Caenorhabditis elegans: one gene and its partner. The protein of the gene in region 1 interacts with the protein of each later gene in a pairwise test. Each region holds a gene or a part of one and is shown in the gene's direction. Other genes may lie near its edges.

What was found.
Region 2: the proteins of B0507.1 (region 1) and T21H3.1 interact in a two-hybrid assay, tested with the Caenorhabditis elegans proteins (one large-scale study listed by BioGRID).

Annotation. Positions count from the first base shown.
Region 1 is NC_003283.11:8,774,844-8,785,500, forward strand, and holds B0507.1 (EB domain-containing protein), read left to right. Parts: upstream 1-1,726; 5' UTR 1,727-1,741; exon of another isoform or gene 1,742-1,787; intron 1,788-1,801; 5' UTR 1,802-1,816; coding exon 1,817-1,993; intron 1,994-2,056; coding exon 2,057-2,276; intron 2,277-2,430; coding exon 2,431-2,916; intron 2,917-3,000; coding exon 3,001-3,425; intron 3,426-3,476; coding exon 3,477-3,840; intron 3,841-4,139; coding exon 4,140-4,315; 3' UTR 4,316-4,475; downstream 4,476-10,657. Other genes in the region: B0507.2 (BRO1 domain-containing protein BROX homolog), read left to right, coding at 16-964, 1,429-1,518.
Region 2 is NC_003283.11:1,171,143-1,181,375, forward strand, and holds T21H3.1 (Fungal lipase-type domain-containing protein), read left to right. Parts: upstream 1-5,581; 5' UTR 5,582-5,582; coding exon 5,583-5,954; intron 5,955-6,002; coding exon 6,003-6,128; intron 6,129-7,213; coding exon 7,214-7,561; intron 7,562-7,611; coding exon 7,612-7,683; 3' UTR 7,684-7,722; downstream 7,723-10,233. Other genes in the region: ptr-16 (SSD domain-containing protein), read left to right, coding at 1-1,294, 1,940-2,437, 3,446-3,569, 3,623-3,672; F25A2.1 (Fungal lipase-type domain-containing protein), read left to right, coding at 8,487-8,807, 8,852-8,977, 9,510-9,851.

The DNA of each region.
Region 1 (10,657 bases):
TACGCTCTTTATCAGGGAAAACAAGGACGCAGGCAACAAAAACAGCAAACTAATTCCACTGATCCGCTTCAAATGGGGTAACTCAATGCTTCCACAAGCCGCCACAGAAGTTTCGGATACTTGGTTTGAAGCTCTCAGTATGATTCAATGTATGGCAATGTGGCTCACAAAGCATGCTGCGTCGATGGCTGGAAAGGATGAGGTACGAGAATCTGATGCAAAGGAATGTCTTCAGTGTTTGAGACAAGCAGGTGGAATGTTCCAATATGTGAAAGATGAATCATCACGACTTTCCGGTGCCAATGAAGTTGAAGGCTCAGATTTTGATCCGAAAGTTATGGAAACGTATATTTTGACTGCCACAGCAGAAGCACAAGAGGTCATTGTAGCTAGAGCTATTGAAATGAAACATGATGATGGATTAATCTCATCGCTTGCTGCTGTAACTGCATCGATATTCTCAAAAGCTGATCAATGCCTGAATAATTTGCCTGATGAGAGTTTTGCGAGATGGAGAAGATATCTGCAATTGAAGCATCATTTCTATTTGGCGTATGCTTTTGCCTTCCTCGGACAGAAACAACTATCAGAGGATAAATGTGGAGAAGCTGTGAGAGCTTGTAAGCAAGGAATTGCTGAGTATGGAGTTGCTAAAGAAATGGCAGCAATGTATGCAACTGCAACTGGTCCTGGAACTCGTATCAAGCCTGAGCAACACTTGTTCTTCAGAAGAATCGAGCCATTGCTCAATCGACATTTGGAAAAAGCGGAGCGAGAAAATGGATTCATCTATCATCAAAAAGTTCCAGATGAGATTCCTCAATTGGATGTAGAAGCAACATATGGATTGGCTAAACTTGATTCGTTTACCTATCCTCCACCAGCGGAATCATGGAATACGGCAGTTTATTCCGCTTTTGATTTGTCCAAAGCAAATATGCCAGATTTTTCAAAAATTAAAAAGGTAGGCGCGTCGATTTTTTAAAAACTAAATTAAACTAATTACATAACAAATATTTTGAGTTCTGGAAAAACGTGTTTCAATTTGAAACGCTCAATTTTTATTTCCGTTCTTGCCTTCTAAAGTAAAAATTGGATATAAATTCAAAAACAGCAAATTCAAAAATTGAGCGTTTACCAAAAATACAATTTTGACAATAAAATCCGTTCAAAAAAAGCGAAAACATGCAATTTCCGTTAGTTTGATCTAAAAAAAACAACAGATAATTTGAACAGTATACGGATTTATCAAATGTTAACACATTTACAAGGAAATTTTTTTTCATTTTTCATTTCCAAAAAATCTAGGAAACATTCGAATTTGTCATACTAAAACTCCTTTAAATTTCTTCCTTAAAACATTCGACTTAAAAAATGCATTTATTAAAAAGAATAAAGCATTTAAACTGTTGTAATCACTAATTTCAGAGCAAGTCAAAGCTTGATCCAGTTCACGAGGAGAAAATCTACCAAACAGAAAAGGATCCCAGCAATTCCAGTGGATGTGTGATTGCCTAATAATTCGAGTCTTTGTACATTACTGTTCTTCACTATTTTATTTTTAAACATTTCCATTTCCCCTTACAACCATGCCCATTTGTATGCAATGTTTCCAATTTTAGCTGCACGCGTTCTCATTGATGCTGGATGATATACATAAAAATGTACATGTTGTTGACACGATTGAAGACAGTGACCAAATATAACGGTCAGTTGAGCATGCGGCTGAATCAACCAACAGGTGTGCCAACATTCAAAGGGCGGTCCTTTGGGGCAGATCGGATATAGCTGGAGATTTTAGTTTCAGTCAGTAGCAATGCGATCCCGTCGGCTAGTCATCCTGTCAATTTTGTTATTTCTCATTGGAGTTGTCAGCGCTAGAACAGCGTCTGGAAGAGGATGTACTCATTCAATGCAATGTGGTAGAGGATTCTTCTGTCAAGAAGGCGCTTGTAGGAAAGATTCGTGTTCCAATGATTTACAATGTGACGAGGTATCGTTTTTTTTTAACTTCTAAGTATTAAAATGCGCGGAGATTCATTTAAACGTATTCTAGGGTGAAGAGTGTCGCCCTGGCAATGTTAACGGACGACAGAAATCCGGATGCTTCAAGTCACTTGTCCCGAAATCGGCATTGGGAGGAACATCGGAAGATTTTTGTCCAGGAGGAGGTGCACTTGTCCTCTCTCCTACTGGAACTCTGACAATCTGCGATTTGACTGAAGACTGCCCATCAACTCACATCTGTAATCCAGTGCATGGAGTTTGTTGTACAAGTAAGAAATCGTATTGATTATAAAATTCTCGTTGGAAAAAAAAGGGACCACGTTTTCAATAAAACGTAAATATTTCAGGACATGGTTATTCATTTTGAAAAATTAAATGAGGATCCTCATTATCAAATTAACCGGTAAAATTTACATTCTTCAGAACTACCAACCTGTCCAAAAACTAAGAAAACCATGGTTAACTTCATAACTGGCAAACCTATTATGTGCCAATTCAAACAAGGAAGAGTAATGCCATGCCCTGAGAATGGTTTCTGTGAGACTACAACTGGATTCTGCTGCGTCCCAGGTGTAGATGTTGAGCCCCCAGTCGTCGTTACCCGTGCACCAGCAATCATTGAAAATGAACGTCCGTGGCGAGGACAAGTGTGCTCTCCACAATCTGGATGTTCTGGTGGAGCAGCTTGTATCTGTGGAGCCCGTGGAAATTGTATGTGTGAGTGTGCCACAGACTTTGGATACACACTTGCTTCCGATGGAAAAACTTGTCAAAGAGTTAGAAGACGTCTGAAAGAAAAGTGTAAGACTGATATGGAATGCTCTGCTGCATTTTCAGAATGCTCTTCAGGAGGATGTAGATGTAAGAGAGGTTTCAAGAGAAATGGTGATGGAGGTTGTGAACCCCTTGGTGAGTTTTTTTCAGCACAAATGTTTTTATCAATTAGATATCAATCAAACTTCATTGAAACTAGTTCATCTCAGAAAATTGCAGAGTACCGATGTGTCAACAAAGCAGCTCCCCTAAAACGAGATGAAAAGCTTATCACATGCTCTCTCAAAAACTCTCTTCTTTCGAGTGTCTCCACCAGTTTCAGAAGCCTGAAAAAGTCAGAAAATGGAAGTGATATTAACGATGCCGAATTTGAACGTCTAATGAAAGGAATTCAAAATGGAACTCTTTTGGATTTTGGAAATGAAAGAGATGATTGTCCAGATGAGCATTATTGTGTTCCTGTGTTCGATGATGCAAGTAAACCCGGTTATTATAAGGGATTTTGTTGTCCGTCTCCATCCGAAATTCGCCCAACATGCCCTGTGGGAGAACCACATGAATCGTCATATCCTCCAGACTATGGATGTAACAAATGTCCCGTAGATTATTACTGTCATAGGGATTCTGTAGCCACCGAGAAATCTGTATGGTTTTCAAAATCTCAAACCCCTTTGAAAGAATATCTAAAATTTCAGATTTGCTGTCCAAAGCCTTGTGTTTCACTCGAAGACATCTACCACGAAGGCCAGTGCTTTTCAATGGCGTACTATGGAGACAGCTGTCACATTTCGTCGCAATGCGTCTACTCAAAGAGTCCCGACGCCGCCGAAGAGTACGCTGAAGTTGCAAAAATGGAATGTGCCAGAAGTATTTGTTCGTGTCCAGCAGGTTTCAGTTATGCTGACGGACAGTGCAAAAGAATTATGTGCTCAATTGGCCTAAGAGGAGAACCATCAGTAGACAAGTCAGGGCAATTAATTCGTTGTGAGAGATCCAGTGATTGTAGTATGGGTCATATGTGTGATCCAAATACCCATGTTTGCTGCAAGGGAACTAACAGTAAGTGACTTCCAAGGAAATTTTATTTTGAAAAATTGTTCAATGCATTCCTTCTTGAAATCAGTATATGAATATCTGTTTCAGTTATCACAAGATTAACTAGCTTTGCAAAAGTGCAAACAATAATTAGAGTTATTTTATAATTCTGCTGCCACAACACCCTTATCAAATTACAAACTATAATCATAGAAAGCAGAAAACTAATGACATATTTTTGGGATTTTTCTGTAAATCCATAAATTGTTCTACCAATGTCTAAATTTTTAGAGATCTTCATTTTTATTGAATTATTACTTCAGGATGTCCAAAGGATTATGTTGAGACCGGAGAGCAATGCACAGATGACAATTGTCGTGGAATAAACCAAATCTGTCACCGAACCAAAAATGGCAAAGCCAAAATCTGTTGCACTTATGATGATGTGACAATGTCTGCCATGCGGGATGCCCTGAATTCAACAACAATGAATCTGTAAACTACATTCGCTTTGTAAAATCCCTTCTCTATATTGTTCACCCCTCGTTTTCCAACTCTTCTTGTTTGTACATTTTGGACGTGCTTCCCTTTTCTTTTTCCTCTTTTCACCAGTAGCCACCAACACCACCACCTCTTTAATAAATCCTTACATGACTCTCTTCTCGTCGTGTGCCATCCTCCACATTTGCTTCTTGTATCCTGTTGCTCTTCCTCATCGTCGTCATAGCGACTGGAGAGGATTCTGGAGAGAGGAAGCTGAAAAGGAGAGCGGACACACTTGGAAAATACGGATGAATGAGTAATCAGGGATGAATAGTGGATGAATGGCCAAGGGGAAGGCCAAAATGTCCTCTGTCTTTATCATGAATTCTTCTGAAGAAACCTGAAAAGCAGTGCTTCTAATAAACGGACCAATTCGTGACATGACCCTTAAAAATATTTTTCTGATGTTGTCGGTGGTGACATCTTCTCGGAACCCCCTGTGGCCGAGAGTGAATAAATTAGAGAAGAAGAAGACGAAGATGGCTTGTTGGAAGACGGGACGAAAACGAAAAAAAAAGAAGCGGAGGAGAGGAGGGCTTTTCGAATTCTGGAGCTCTTTTTCGCCTTCTCAACTACACACTCGTCATTTAGTGGTGAGGAGATGGAAATAGGGGGAATGAAGTCATCGTTTTGGTGGTCGTCGAGATGGAAGAAGAAGGCCATCTTTCCTGGAATGGACGAAAGTGAGCTAAAGTGAAAGAGCTCGGCTTTCAGTTTTTTTGTTGAACGATGGTGAAGCCATTCTGTGAGAAATACCTTCTGCCATTTTTAAAGTTTACATGAACGCTTACATTTTGAATATTTCAATCTTCAAACAGTTCAAACAAAACTTCAATCTTAGAGTCGCTAATGATAGTTATCTTATAAACAATTTGGACGTCCAAGGAATTTTTGATTCCCAAATATAAGTTATAACCGTGTTATAAGAGTAAATTTTCCTTCTGATATCATCGTTCCCTTTTGTGCCTAACACTACAAACTATAGTAGTCTAAACTCTGCTGACAAGAATTTATACAAGAGTGTCATCTCAACTTCCGCATCCGCTTCATCTTCAACCTGAGAGCCCAACTCCTCCCGGCTCAGGAGCCCGTGGTCCTGCGTCTCCACTCATCTTCATCTTCTTCTCAAGTTTTGTGTTGTAAACCGACTGACTCTCCTTCTTCATCTTCATGTCGGTCAAGTCAAGAACGGACGCTTTCTGGAGGAGATGTGTGTATGAGAAGAGCGCTTCTCTCTGTGTTTCTTTATTCCGCATAGCAACCAGAAAGCTTCTTCTTCTTCATCTTCATCATCTCAGTAGAAGATGAAGAGAAGAAGTGCTCCGCCTTTCACAAAATCTTCTTCTCAGTCACCTGAGCTCCTGAGAGCCGTTTGAGCATGTAAAGGAGCATGTCCTCTTTTCAAAGAATCCTACACTTTTTAGACTTTGTCGTGTGAGCTTCTAAGAACATTTGTATGTTGAGATCACACAGAAACTCAGTTTCTGCTTTGAAAATTTCTAGTTTGAATTAGAAATTCTCAATTTCCGAAAACAATGGTACGAATTTTGGCATGTTAAATATTATACGAATAACTTCGAGAAATCTGACCAATACGATTGAATTGAAGTTTTAAACGAGCAATTTTATAACCCTCCAATTCCAGCCAAGGACTAAACTTTACAATTATTTTTTGAGATTTCAATAGCTTTCGTATGTAGTAGCTCAAATTTACCAAAAAGTTCGAAACGTTTTTCTCCTCTTCAATATTTCATTAGACCAACCTATTTCTATCGATGACACTACCATATTCCCAAACTCCAATCAATCAGTCCATGAAATTCTTCTCTTTTTCCGCGCCGGTATTGCCTCCACGTCAGGCTTCTCACCACTTATTTTCTTCTTTCTCCCAATCTTCATCGTTCATGCTTCGTTTTTTCTCGACAACACTTCTGATAAAGCGGTGTTTCATCTTTTTTTTTCTCTTGTAGAATTATTTTTCTGGTGGGCAAAACGCTACTGGAGAACGACAGATGAAATATTGAATTGAGCTTGATCCAATAGAGGGAGGAATAAAGAATTCCACGTCACTAGAATTGTGCTTCTATCTGTTCTTCTCTTCATTCTCTTTTTCTCTTATCTACCTCCCATATCATCCTGAATAACCTGGAGAGTGGCTGTGATAACAGAGACAACATAAATTCTCCTACTTATTTTTCTCGTTTTGAGCAAACACTACAGGTGACCTCATACGTTTTGTGTTCCTATCACTATAAATTGGTAATTGTTTGGTAATTGCGTTAATTTGGGTTTTAGTGTAGATTTCTCTTTCTAGATTTCAAACAATAAATAAAAAACTGACTTCAAAAATATCTAAACTTTTATAACCTGAATTAGTACATGTTAAGTTGTACCACCATGCATTATTTTATATCTGGAAATAGTTTTCCACTATATAAAATGAACTAAAAATTTTTTCCACTACAATTTGCCATTTTGGTCAGAAGCTAGCTGGAAGCTCTGCAGAAATTTCCAAGAGAAAGCCGTCCAATGACGGAAGTGGGAAAATACTTTGCAGTGACGTGCTTATCAAATACTCTCCTCTTCTACCAATGACCATCACGGAGCCGAAACCGGTGTGCCACGCATCATTTTGATTTTTTGATGTCAATGTCCAAGGACGTCCATTTCAATCCACATCGACAGATGGCTTCTTTCCGTTTTGAGTCTAGAGAGAATTTATTAGAACATTCCTCGAATCTGCTTCACTTCTGAATTTTTGTTTATTTGTATCTTCTGAAAACTAGGAAGCACAAGAAAAGGGGCACAAATGCTGAGGGAGTGAAGCTATAATCTTCTCATAATACTTTGAGCTTCTCCTCCCATTTCTTCTATTCCGTCTATTCTCTGAGATCCACACTCCATCTTTATCCGTGTCACGTCTCCTGGAGAGCAGACCTTTTAGAAGCCCTTTTTGAAAAGTGTGCTTCAATGTTAGGTCGGGTCACCAGAAACACATATGTATTGTCTTTAGGCACCCAGTTAAATGTACGTCATCTCTCCGTTAGACGCACTATCTGCCCCAACCCTCACTCTCCATATAACCTCTCTGTCTCTTGTTCTGAGTGTCTGTACACCGCACCACACTGTGTTTGTGCTGGTCTTCTTCTTCTCCATATTCATTTCATTCGTCGTCTTCAAAGACGGCGACGTCGTCCATCTTGACTTGAGATTGAGAAGACATGTACGTCTGTGTCAAGATGGAGACCGGGCCTCTAACAGGGAAAAAGATGAAGAAAAAGGAGATGAAGACTTGTGGAAATGGTGGTGACCTCTTTCACAGTTTTTCTTTCTGTAGTGATTCTAAACGAGTTCCATAATGAAACATACAGTACTCTCAGTGGTACTGTATTTTTCCAAAAATGTTCATACGGCACAGTTTTAGAGAATTGTGTCTATTGATAATTTTAGGTACTTTAATTGGATATAAAGTTTGTAAACCTAGTTTTCCACAACTCTAACCCCTTAACAAATATCATAGGAGTCTTAGTATATACAGAACACTATAGCCCATCGTCTCTATTATCTCAATCCCAATGAGTAAAGCGAGAACAGCTCCGTGAGCTCGTGCACCTCCGCCGTTGTTTGCTTCCAGTGGACTCGGGAGCTTGACGGAGCTGCGGTCGGAATCACACAACTCCGCCATCATCACCGCCTCACTTTACCAAAAACCTCACCGCCGTCGTTCTTCTCTTCGCCTCTTTCATCTGTTTATTCACCTTTATGTGTCACTGTCAGCAGGAGCAACCACTACCTCAACTGCCTCAAAAGCAGCCGAGTGGTGGTTGTGCTCCAATATTCCCTCCCCCGTTTACCTTTAACACTTTTGTGCGAGTGTTCACTTGTTTGCCACGTGTCGTCTGTCAACATCTTCCGAATCATTTGACATCGTGGTCGTCTCCTTCTTCATTCTGTTAGTCAGTCTCCTTGAATCCTTCAGAGACCCGACTCTCTTTTCCGTCAAGTTTAATGTCTCTTTGTCTGCTGGCCCGGAGACACCACCAGAATGTTGTCAACAAAGAGGAAGAGTGGAGGAAAAACGAAGAGCGGGTCGTTTTGGAGCCCTCTCTTGTGCTCCAGGGCGCTCCAGAATCTGCGTTGAGCATCTTGAGGAAGAAAAGAGAAGACATGTGTGGGTGAGTGTCTCCGGGGGGATGCGTCTCCTTCTTCTTCTCCTTCGTCATCGTCGTCCAGAGTCTTCTTTTTCGTTTCTGTTTCCTCCGGTCTCCCATCTAATCCCCATTTTGAAGAGAAGAAGAGCTCCTCCTTTCTCACTTTTCATAGTCATCTGAATCGCTATCTTATCAGCTTTATCACAACATGTTTTGGTGCCGTGTGAGAAGTGAGCTCTTTGGATGATTCTATGAATTCTCGCGGCGAGGAGAATCCCTTGAATAGAAGGCGATTAGTGAGAATGAGGCATGGAAACCAGGGAGCCGTCGCACCACTTTGACGTCTTCTTTCTATTCTGATTTTTTAAAAGAAATACGCCATCCAATTATGTTACTACTGTAGATGTTATTTTTGTAGCTATTTGCTCTCAAGTATGTTATGATTCGAAAAGTACAAAATACAGTTATAGTTCTCTCTAGTTATCTAGGTAATTCCCATCTCAAAATGAGAAATCACTTATCAGACCAAACAATTGCAAAACTAGAAGGTGATATGACTTCTAAATTTTTTCTAGAAGAAGAATTGGAAATGAAAGGTATAATAATAAACATTCCAACATACCCCAATTCGACACAAAATTAAAATGTTGGATTGTGGTTATGCAACTTTTATTTCTTGTAGTCTGAATAATAATTTCGGTCAACAAAAGAAGACACCATTTTAGATACACGATAACTTCCACCCACTCATCTATCTCCTGTTTTTTTCTAAAAATTTTGGTGACAACCTTCACCACATCATTCATCCACATCTCAATATGTATCACTTTTCCGTATATTCTGCTGGTTTTTCTGTCCTTACCATCGACGCTCTTTTTTCTTTTTCTGTTCCCTTTACTCTTCCCCTTCCTCGTCACCATCGTCCTCGCCTTCTTCTCCATTCGTCTTCTTCTTCTTCACTGACTTCTCCAACAGTATGTGTCTGTATGTTGCGCGACCTCCCGCTATCCTTCTGTACACTCAACGTTCCCGTCTTTCCCGTCAAGTCAGTCAATCCCAATCGGCCGAGAATCTTTGAAGAAGAAGACGAAGACGATGAAAAGAGGACAGACGTTGGAATGTTTATTTTGCTCTCCTCGATACTGACTGACTAGCTGCAAGAAGAATAAGAAGAAGGAGAAGAAGCGGGGTGGGAGAAGAAGAGAGAAGAAGTTGACTCTTTGCTTCTCGCGCGGGAATGAAGAGATGGAGCACATACACCGGCTCTCTTGCTCTTCCGCCCGCGTGCGAGAGAGGCACTTTCCTCCTCACTGTGCTTTTTCTGTGTATTCTCTACAAAGACACTTGACAAATGGAGCGCACCAACTCCGCTTCGAGAAAATCCTACTCCATCTCCGAATAGCTCTGAACCCCCCTCTCAATGGATGTTAGTCTATGTGTGTTCTTCTCGAAGTTGTCATCATCAACGACGAGAAGAACGATTCGTCGACATAACGAAAGAGTGTCTGTTATCATATCAGTGTTGAGGGCATGTTGCACGACTCGTCTCTCGTCCTCCACGATGGCTGGCGGCTGCATCAGAAGTATGTATCAATGAATCGATACCAAAACGAAATAGTGTGCAGCAGGCAGTTTCCTATGTGCATCTGCATCAGGCATCCCACAGCCCCACCATGGAGGGCAGAGGCGCGTGGGGTCTCCGACGCGACGCCGCACATTTGAATATATTCACCTTTGCACCACGTCATTCATCTGTACATGTATTCAACTATATCCTAACTATAAGTTAGATGAAAAAGGCACATAACCGATGTACATTTAACTACGAAACAACACAATTGTTTTGACATTACCTGCTGATACTCTTTGTGATTTTCGATTTGACACTAGTAATAACAGGAAAAATGCCCCAAAAATTGGATCTGAAAACACTGCTCAAGCGAAGCAGTTTAAAAGCAAGAAACTTTTGAAGGATTACTGTAGAAATGTAGTGTTCTAATTATTTATCATCATCCTCCCTCCTCTTCTACTTCTTCTAACTATAAACGTTCATTTGCCTAGCTCTATTCTCATTGACCGTAAACGTACTCAACTCCATTCCGGGACAGTGTCTTTCACTGCGTCTCACCGCTCTGCACACTCTTTAT
Region 2 (10,233 bases), 7.6 Mb from region 1:
CAACTCGGATGCGATGATTGCTCGAGAAGTCCGAACGAATGGAATGACATGTGTGCCATTCTTCTCCTTTTCTGTCGCGGCTGTAGTCATTTTCATATTCGCCACGAATAGTCGGGAGCATTTCGTGTTCTCTCACAACGTTGTGATGGCTATCTTGGGAATCGCCGGACCTCTCATGGCAACTGGAACCGCTTTTGGATTCCTCTTCCTTTTCGGATTTCCATTCAACTCTATCACATTGGTAATGCCATTTTTGATAATTGGAGTAGGATGTGATGATGTATTTATTATCATTCATGCTATGAGAAAAACCGATAAATCTGAAAGTCTAGAGGACCGAATTGCGGAGACCATGGAAGAAGCAGGACCCTCAATCACCGTAACATCGGCTACGAACTGCTTGTCCTTTGCCATCGGAATCGCAACCCCGACTCCTGCAATTTCACTCTTCTGCCTATACACCTGTGTGGCGGTTGCTGTGGATTTTGTATATCAGCTAACATTTTTTGTGGCAGTTCTAGTTTATGAGGAGAAACGTCTGATGAAGCTTCAGAAGGTCGGAGAGGAGAAGAAAATCGAAGCGGCTATGGAGCGCAGGCCGAAGCAAGTGTTATCAATACAGAATTCTATTCGATCAACTGCCGGCGCCCATCCACCACCTGCAAACCCAAATGGGATAGTCAGCAGGTACTGCAGGTTTTTGAAGGACTGGAAGACCCGTTTGTGCTTACTCCTGGTGCTCTGTGGCTATTGGACAGCTTCTTACTACGGGTGTAAAACTATGGAAATCAAAATGGACACTACTAATCTTATCATGAATGATTCCCCGTTAAACCATATCGCATGGATCTACGAACGGTTCTTGTGGAGTGAAGGGCAATTGGTCATGGTTTTTGTGAATAATCCTCCTGATTTAACAAAATCAGAGAATCTACATGAAGTCCTAGAACTTGTAAATCGATTCGAAACGCTTCCATATTCCATGGGCAAGAACTCAACCTCAATTTGGCTACGCTCATTCTTATATCAAAGCTCTCTATACCACAACAACAAAGGATTCAATGGGCTTTTGCAAGAATGGCTTGAAGACTCGGAAGGAGGCGGTGCCAGATGGAATGATATGTTGAGGTTGAAGAAGGACGAAAATGGTACCATACTTGGAATTGATAAGTTCATGTTTGCAACTGCTTGCGCGATGGGCGACGATGCAAATTGGTCGACTCGTGAGAAATTACAAAAGCAGTGGAGAGGCGTAGCACATGAATATGAGCATTTTAACGTTACAGTTTTCCAGGTTAGTGATTTACGAAAAATTAGGGCTGTTATGGGTTTATTCGTGCCTTTTAGAAAAATGCAAAATGTATTGTGATACATTTTCTCCCTATTCATGAGTGTCGAAAAAAAAACACATCCATTTATTCCATTTTTAGACACTTTTCGACATTTTTCTTCATTTTCGACCTTTTTTACATTTTTCAAAAACGCCCACGCGCGTCTGGTTTCCCTCATATTTAAAAATGTAAGAGTTTGCCGAATTAGGCCATTTTTTCTCGGCCACGACTGGGTTAGATTTACGGCGCGTTGCATGTTGCGTCGCGGCCCGGTTTTTATTGGAAAACTAAATCTATTTGTCCGTGTGGAGTACACGACTTTCCCATGTCCGGCAGGCGATTGTCAATGGAGCGCGAAAAGCGCAACGAGGGAGGCCAGAACCCCATGTGCATTTCTCAACATTTTTCTGCATTTTTCGACATCAGCCGGCAGCCCACTTCACAAATGCAAAAAAATTATATAAAAAAACAACATTTTTTCGGCACTTATGAATAGGGGGAAAATTTATATAAATGCATTTTTGAGTTTTTCTAAATCGCATGAATAACCCCATCCCTAACAAAAAATACCTGAAATACCAGTAAAAGAGCTGCATTTTTTCGTTCAGAGCTACTCTTTCTACATTGACCAACTTGACTCAATCGGCGCGACGACCATGTCTACAGTAATCTGGGCTGCAATTACAATGGATCTTGCATGCCTTCTCATGATCCCTGGCATCAACTCAATCCTAACAAGTACCATTGCAATGATATCCATCAATATTGGAGTCTTCGGTCTTTTGTCAATGTGGAGAGTGAATTTGGATCCGATCACGATGTGCACCACATTAATGTCTATCGGATTCTCGGTGGACTTTACAGCGCACATCTCCTATCACTACTACCGGAACCCCACCAGTTGGACCACTGATGAGCGCCTTGCCGATGCACTGAAATCTATCGGATGGCCAATGATTCAGGCCGCAAGCTCGACAGTGTTATGCATTTTCCCATTGATGTTCAACACGAGTTATATGGTTTGGGTGTTTGTGAAAACGATTCTTCTGGTTACTGTACTTGGGTTGCTTCATGGAATTATATTTTTGCCGGCGTTATTGCTTACCGTAAGTTATTGCCTGAAAAAATTTTAGGGCGTCCTGTAACCTATAGAGGTAGGTCGCAAGTCGACTTACGCGCACGTCGAGTAAGAAAGTCCCATTTCGCTTTGATCTACGAAAAATGCGGGAGAAGAGACGCAGACATCTCATCTGGTTTCGCATGGTTAAGAGTGTGCTGACGTCACATTTTTTGTAGATCAAACCGCGATGAGACTTTCTGACACCACGTGTGTGCGGCAAATCTAAAAATTTGCCGAACACGTCTGCTATCAAAGAATGTTCAACTGACACTATGGTTTTGCGTGTTTGAATTATTCACAGAAGATGTGGCAAAAAATAAAGCGGCCGACATCTTGTGAGTTCAGATTTTTTGGAACAAAATTATTAGTTTTAGTAAAAATTGAATTGTCCATTTTTTGCCGAATTCGGCAAACGGCAAAATCGGCAAATTTGCCAAACACTATATTGGATTTTTATCAAATTTCGATTAATCATCTGGTTATTGAGTTAGTGTATTCAGGGGTTGGTGACAATTGTCGTTCGTCAATTTTTTTGTCGACTAATTCGGCAAATCAGCAAATTGCCGATTTGCCAATTTTCCAACAATTTGCCGATTTGCCGTTTGCCGAACATAAACTTGCCGGAAGTTTTTAGAGAGAATTTATATAAGACGGCAACACCTGAAACTATGCCTATTTGCCGGTTTGTCGAATCGCCGGAAGTTTCAATTCCGGCAACTTACCGACTTGCCGACTTGCCGGAAAAAGGCGATTGCTCACCTCTGGCCCATTAGTTCCAATCGTCCAGAATGGACTCACAAGATTCCTGGCGCTTTATTTTTGTCGTGATTTTTTTTAATTAGTTAAACATATTTTGATAGCATTTCTGGTTTTTGAGTTATCTATAATCTTTTGAAAAATTTGAGAAATTATCAAAAAACTCTCGATTGAAATTTACTCGAATAACTGATTTGAATCGAGATATCAACTGTCAGACTATAACCTTTTTTTTCAGTCTGGCGACTTATCTCGTTTATTTGGTGGCGACTCAATACAGCCGGAAAAACCTGAAAAACTCGGAGAAATTTCACAGGCTTCCAGTTTTTCAAGTGGAAACAGTGAGACAGCTCTAGTCAAAAGTAAGAGTCAAAAGTAATACATGAATTCGATTTAAAAATTACAATTTTTACAGGCAACTCAACAGAACTGAGAACCTTACCACAGGAACGGGGATCCGGTTAATATGTGCCAAAAAAAATTGTGATCCAAAATTGTAATTTATTAGTGTTGTTTTTTTTCTCCACATTGTTTTCCTATCAAGTCTCAACTACGGGTGCTCGACTTCATTGACGTCTGTCTCATTCCCAGTTTTCTTTTGTGATAAATTAGTTAAAAAGAATTTGCAAATCAGTTGTCATTGCAGAAAAAACTAAAAATTTTCTGAATAAAAACTCACAAAAAATCAATCTTCAGGTGACTTACTGATGAAAATAAAATTTGTTGAAGATTTGTCTTTAAAGGTTGACTAGCGTCACGTGGTGTCAAAGTGTCCCATTTTAGTTTGATCTACGAAAAATGCGGGAGAAGAGACGGAGATTTTTCAACTGATTTCGCATGGTTGAGAGTATGCTGACGTCACATTTTCCTGGGCAAAAAATCCCGCATTTTTGTAGATCAAACCCTGATGGGACAGCCTGACGCCATGGGTAGCGTTTGCGCTAATTTTGCCCTAAATGGTCGAAAAACAGTCTTAATATATCAATTAAAACTATGAAAAAAATTTACAAAAAATTTCTAATTTTTTCATGATTTTATAAATTTTGAAAAAAAGAGCTGAATTATTTTTGAATTCCCGCACAAATGAATGACGTCATTTTTGGCATTTTTGCATTTTTGGGCAATAAATTTGATTTTTTCAATATTTTTCAAAAATTTTTCAATATTTTTTACAATGTTTTTCAGACATTTTTCGGCGCAGCAAATGAAAAAAATTTGCTGAAACTCCAAAATTGGCCTAAAATCAATAATTTAGCATTAAAAAAACGTGTTTTTTTGGGAAAAATGTCTGAAAATTTTGACAAATTATGCGTCAAATTATGAAACAAAGAAAAAGTAAAGAAAAAGCAGTCAATATTCCCAAAAAGTGTCAAAAAATGACGTCATTCACTTGCGCGGGAATTCAAAAAAAAAATTATATTTCCTGTTCGAATTTTAAAAAAATCATTAAAAATTTAAAAAATTTTTATACATTTTTTGACAGTTATATTTGTTATATTGAGACTGTATTCTATCATTTAGAATTTAAAAAAAACCCACCTGTGCAACTCCAATTTTAAGGTAAGCGGGGATAAAGTTGGCTTGACAACATTTTTTGGAAATTTAATTTTCTTAAAGTTTGCTGATCAAATCAAATATCAGCCTTTCAAAAACATTTCATTCGGAAATTTGATTATTTGATTTTTCAGGTAGAATTCACGGATTTTCGGCTTCCCTCATAAATTGAAATGGAAGAAATTGCCGAACTAGGCCATTTTGGCTCGGCCATATCTTGGGTAGATTTACGGCGCGTTGCGTGTCGCGGCTCGATTTTAGTTGTGAAACTAAATGCATTTGTCCGTGTGGAGTACAGGAATTCCCACGCGTTGGCGATTGTCAATGGAGCGCAAAAAATTCAACGAGGAAGGCCAGAACCCCGTGTAGAATTTTTTTTAACACCACTGAACATTCAAGTATCAAGAACTTTGTTCATCTCCTACAGTGTTAGTTTGTGGTTCGAGGAATCAAACGACCATTTAAACTACTTGCGTAATCCGGTTCGATTGAAAATTTGATAAAAGAGCACAAGTTAAGCGGTATCATTCATATCAACGACTTTTTTATAGGTTGTGTGATATTTGAAACGGAATTGGTGATAAGAAAACGGAAAGTTAATAAAGAGAAATCGAATAGCAGAGTATCGTCATTTTCCCACCTTTTCTCCCAGTAATCATGTTTTAAATGTTAATTCGAAATTTGCGGCAAATTAAGTTTCGAAGTGACGTCACACAGGCTTCACTTCGGTGACGTCACGTGTTTCTGAATAAGATGTGTCACGTTTTAAAACGATTTTCCAACTTCCATCTCATTTGTTAACTTTAAATTATTCTTTCAGTATGCAAGCCTTACTGCTTGCTGCAGTCCTTCTGCCACTGGCTTCGGCCTTTGTGCTACCAGAAGCCCCAAAAAATCCAGAGAACCTCGACGTCTATACCATCCCATACAACGACGCCACTGCTCGCAAGAAGATTCTCTTCGCAGCCGGCGCCGCCTACGGATCGAATCCACAACAGTGCCTCGACAAAGCGTTCACCGGTGCCTCAATCAGGAGAATCATTACGGCTCGCTGTGACGTCAACCCAGCCGACAAATGCGTCGGATACACCGCCGTCAGTCCACAGGACAAGGCGATTATTGTGGTGTTCCGTGGAACTAACAACAATGTGCAGCTTATTTTGGAAGGATTGGAGACTGTCTTCGAGTATCACGTAAGATTAAAATTTCGAGTACTCCGGAATAAATGAAGCATGTTTCAGACTCCATGGGCTGCTGGAGGTGTCGTCTCCCAGTACTTCAACGACGGATTTTTGAACATCTGGAACGCCGGACTCAAGGACGATTTTAACACTCTTGCCGCCCAAAACCCAGGATTCCAAGTTTGGGTAAGAATTCGTAAAAACTGATAAGAAAATGATTATTGATGGGGTTAAAGTAGACTGTGCTCCCGTGTTGTTGACAGCTATCGTAGTCTAGCAAAATATACTTTGCGAGTTCATGAAGCAAGTGGTTGTTGCATTTCTACAGTGTATTCCTACACTTGTGATATAAGTGAGTATACCCCCCAGGAAGACGCAGACGACATGAGCTGGGTTGGTTGAGATCTCGATCGAAGTCGGCTGCACGTGGTCCCAGGCTGTCTCATTAGGGTTTGATCTACAAAAAATGCGGGAAATTTTCGCCCAGAAAAATGTGACATCGACACGTTCTTAACCATTCGAAATCAGTTGAGAACTCTGCGTCTCTTCTCCCGCATTTTCTGTAGATCTACGTAGAACAAGCCGATATGAGACACTCTGACACCACGTGGGCTGCAGTGCAGCTACACAGTACGTCGCGCAAGCCTTGATGCCTGATAGGTGTAACAATAATGCTTCGTTAAATTTTTTTTTAAAATAAAATAAGAAGTCCAGATCAGAAACGCGGGAATGTCAGTGGTCAACCTCGAACCACAAAAATGTTATAGAAACTTAAAACCCATTCCACGTGGTGTCAGGCTGTCTCATTGCGCTTTGATCTACAAAAAATGCGGGAATTTTTCCCAGAAAAATTGTGACATCAGCACGCTCTTGAACATGCGGAATCCGATGAGATGTTTGCGTCTCCTCTCCCGCATTTTTTGAAGATCAAAGCAAAATGGGACTTTCTGACTCCACGTGTCATTCTTGTTGGCGCATGAGCAGGACCCAACCAGTGGATAAAAGATCCTTGTGGATCCATGTGATGATCCCGTGGTGACAATGGTTTCTTGAAAGTAGTCCTATCATTTCCCGGAATACTGTTTAGTGTAGCACCCAAGGTGGTCCACATAAGAAAACGCGGTCTCGAACATTGTCCGTTGCAAATTTATTTTCGTCTCCCAAGGCTCAAAATCATGGGATTCTGGCCTTCCTCATTGAATTTTTCGCGCTCCATTGACAACCGCCCGCCGGACAACGCGTGGGAAAGTCGTGTACTTACAAAACTTCAGGTCACCGGACACTCCCTCGGAGGAGCGATGGCCTCCCTTGCCGCCTCCTACATCACCTACAACAAGCTCTTCGACGCCTCGAAGCTTCAACTCGTCACCTACGGACAGCCACGTGTCGGAGACAAGGCCTACGCGGCCGCCGTCGATCGTGACGTCACGAACAAGTTCCGCGTCACCCACGCCCACGACCCGGTGCCACATCTTCCAAAGGAGAACATGCAAGGATTCACCCACCACAAGGCCGAGGTGTTCTACAAGGAGAAAATGACGAAGTACAACATTTGCGATGATATCGATGAGAGCGAATTCTGCTCCAACGGACAAGTTCTTCCAGACACTTCTATCAAGGTATAAATCGTCCAAAGTTCTTTACTTCACCAATACTTTTATTTTTTTAGGATCATCTTCACTACTTCGACGTTGATGTCAGCGACTTGGGCTACTCAAATTGTGCTAATGTCAAGAACTAACTTTTCAATGTTTTAAACAATAAAATAGTTCACAACTGATTCAGTGGTTCAGAGTTGAAGTGGTGGGCCTGCCTACGCGCCTGCCTCCCATATGTTCGCAGAGGTCCGCACCAGGAATGTGCGGCAAATTTGCCGAATTTACCGAATTCGCCGAGCTCGGCAAATTTCAAAACAGTAGATTTGCCGAATTTGCCGAGCACGATAAATTTCGAAATTTTCCGCACACATCAAAAATTTTTTAACAATACAATTTTGGCCAAAACTATTGATTTTGTCCCCAAAAATTTAGTAAAATGGCATAAAATTGAGTTGTTATTTTGATGCTTAAGCAGACACACTACACGGAAGTTATTCAGACACCAGATTTTTATTCAGAATTCAGTAGTTTCGGTGCTCCAAAAAACATCAAAAAATATCAAATTTTCGGAGTTAATTAAGCACGGCAAATTTGCCGAATTTGCCGTGCTCGGCAAATATTGGAAGAAGAGATTTGCAAAATTTGGCGAGCACGGCAAGTTTTGAGATTTGCCGCACACCCCTTTTCCGTACAGGTTTGAGGCAGGCGTCGGAGCATAAATAGCTAGTAATTCCCTTGATAACAAATGTGACAGCAATCTGAAGATGACGTGATGTTCGTCATATTTCCAAGCAAAGTTAAATGACAAATTGCCTCGGAGCAACAGTAATCCCAAAATCAAACAACAAAGTCACACTTGCAACCAGAACTTTTTTCACTTTTCACAGAGCTATTTAAGTTTGCAAATTTTCAATTACAATTGTATTTAATGTATTTGACATTCAAAATGCTTTTTATTTTCTCCGTTTTAATTTGCAAATCATTCTCCCACAGTTCAATACCATATTCCGATCAGCTCTCTCGGAATAAACTGATCTATGCAGCCATCTCCGCGTACGCTTCTCCTCCACAAAGTTGCATGAGCTTGGCGTTTCAAAATTTTCAAGTCAAACCTCAGATTACTGTAGCTTGCGACACACTTGATGATACATGTTCTGGATTTACTGGAGTCGATCACGAAAGTCAGGCGATTTTGGTAGCTTTTCGTGGAACTAATCGTAACGCACAGCTGCTCGTTGAAGCCGTAGAAACTGTGTTTGCAAACAATGTAAGTTAGTTTATGCAAAAGCTCTGTCTAGGTCAAATTTTCAGAAATCCTGGGTTTCCGGTGGGCACGTCTCCGAATACTTCAGCGATGCGTTTTTCAAAATATGGACTTCTGGAATGAAAGATGACGTCATCAGTCTGATGTCTAGATACCCAAGTTATCAAGTTTGGGTTCGTTAGCCTCGCACGTTCGATTTCCGAGAATAACGGGAAATTTACACCTGGGGAGTGCGGCAAATTTTCCAAATTTGCCGGACACTCCTGATAAACACGCAAGAGTTCTACTAGCGTCTCAAAGCGAATTTCGTATTCCGACTTCCGCATTTCTTGGAGATCAATAAACATGCTGTCCCATTACAGTTTGATCTGCCAAAAATGCGGGAATTTTTTGCCCAAAAATATGTGACGTCAGCACGTTCTTAACCATGTGATTCAGTTGAGAAATCTGCGTCTGAATTCCCGCAATTTTTGTAGATCAGCGTAGATCAAGCCGAAATGGGACAGCCTGACATCTCATGAGTACACAGGCCCATTACAATTTGATCTACTAAAAATGCGGGAATTTCTTCCACAGAAAATGTGACGTCACTACGTTCTTAACCATGCGAAATCAGTTGAGAACTGTGCGTCTCTTCTCCCGCACTTTTTGTAGATCAACGTAGATCAAACCGAGATGGGACAGCCTGACGCTGACAATTTTCAGGTCACCGGCCACTCTCTTGGTGGAGCTCTAGCCTCCCTTGCTGCCACATATCTCCGATATACCAGTCTCGTATCGGCTGATCAGCTTCTCCTCGTCACATTCGGCCAACCACGTACCGGGAACATGGACTTCGCGACCAGCGTTGACAACCTGGTCCCAAATGCGTATCGTGTCACACATTCTCATGATCCCGTACCACACTTGCCTGGACAAGGCCATCACGGCTACTTTCACCATAAGTCGGAAGTTTATTATAACAAGAACATGGGTGGTTGGGAGATTTGTGAAAAGGACGAATCGGAGAAATGTTCGAATGGAAATCTTGTTGACTTGGATTTTGAGGTGTGTCTTTTTTTTTTCGTTTGATCATATATATTGATTTCGTGATTTTTTTCTTAAACGGCAAACAATCTTTTCCGGCAAATCGGCAAGTTGCCGGAATTGAAAATTTTCGGCAAAATGGGCAAACCGGCTCTTTGCAGGAATTGAAAATTTCCGGCAAATCAGCAATTTTCCGGAATTGAATATTTCCGACAAATCGGCAAACCACCAAATTTGCCGGAATTCAAAACATCCGGCAAATCGACAAATTGGCAAACCGGCGATTTGCAGGAATTGGAAATTTCCGGCAAACCGGCAAATTGCCGGAATCGTAAATTTCCGGCAAATCAGCAATTTGCCGAAAATGAAAATTTCCGGCAAATTGCCAAATTGCCCGAATTTG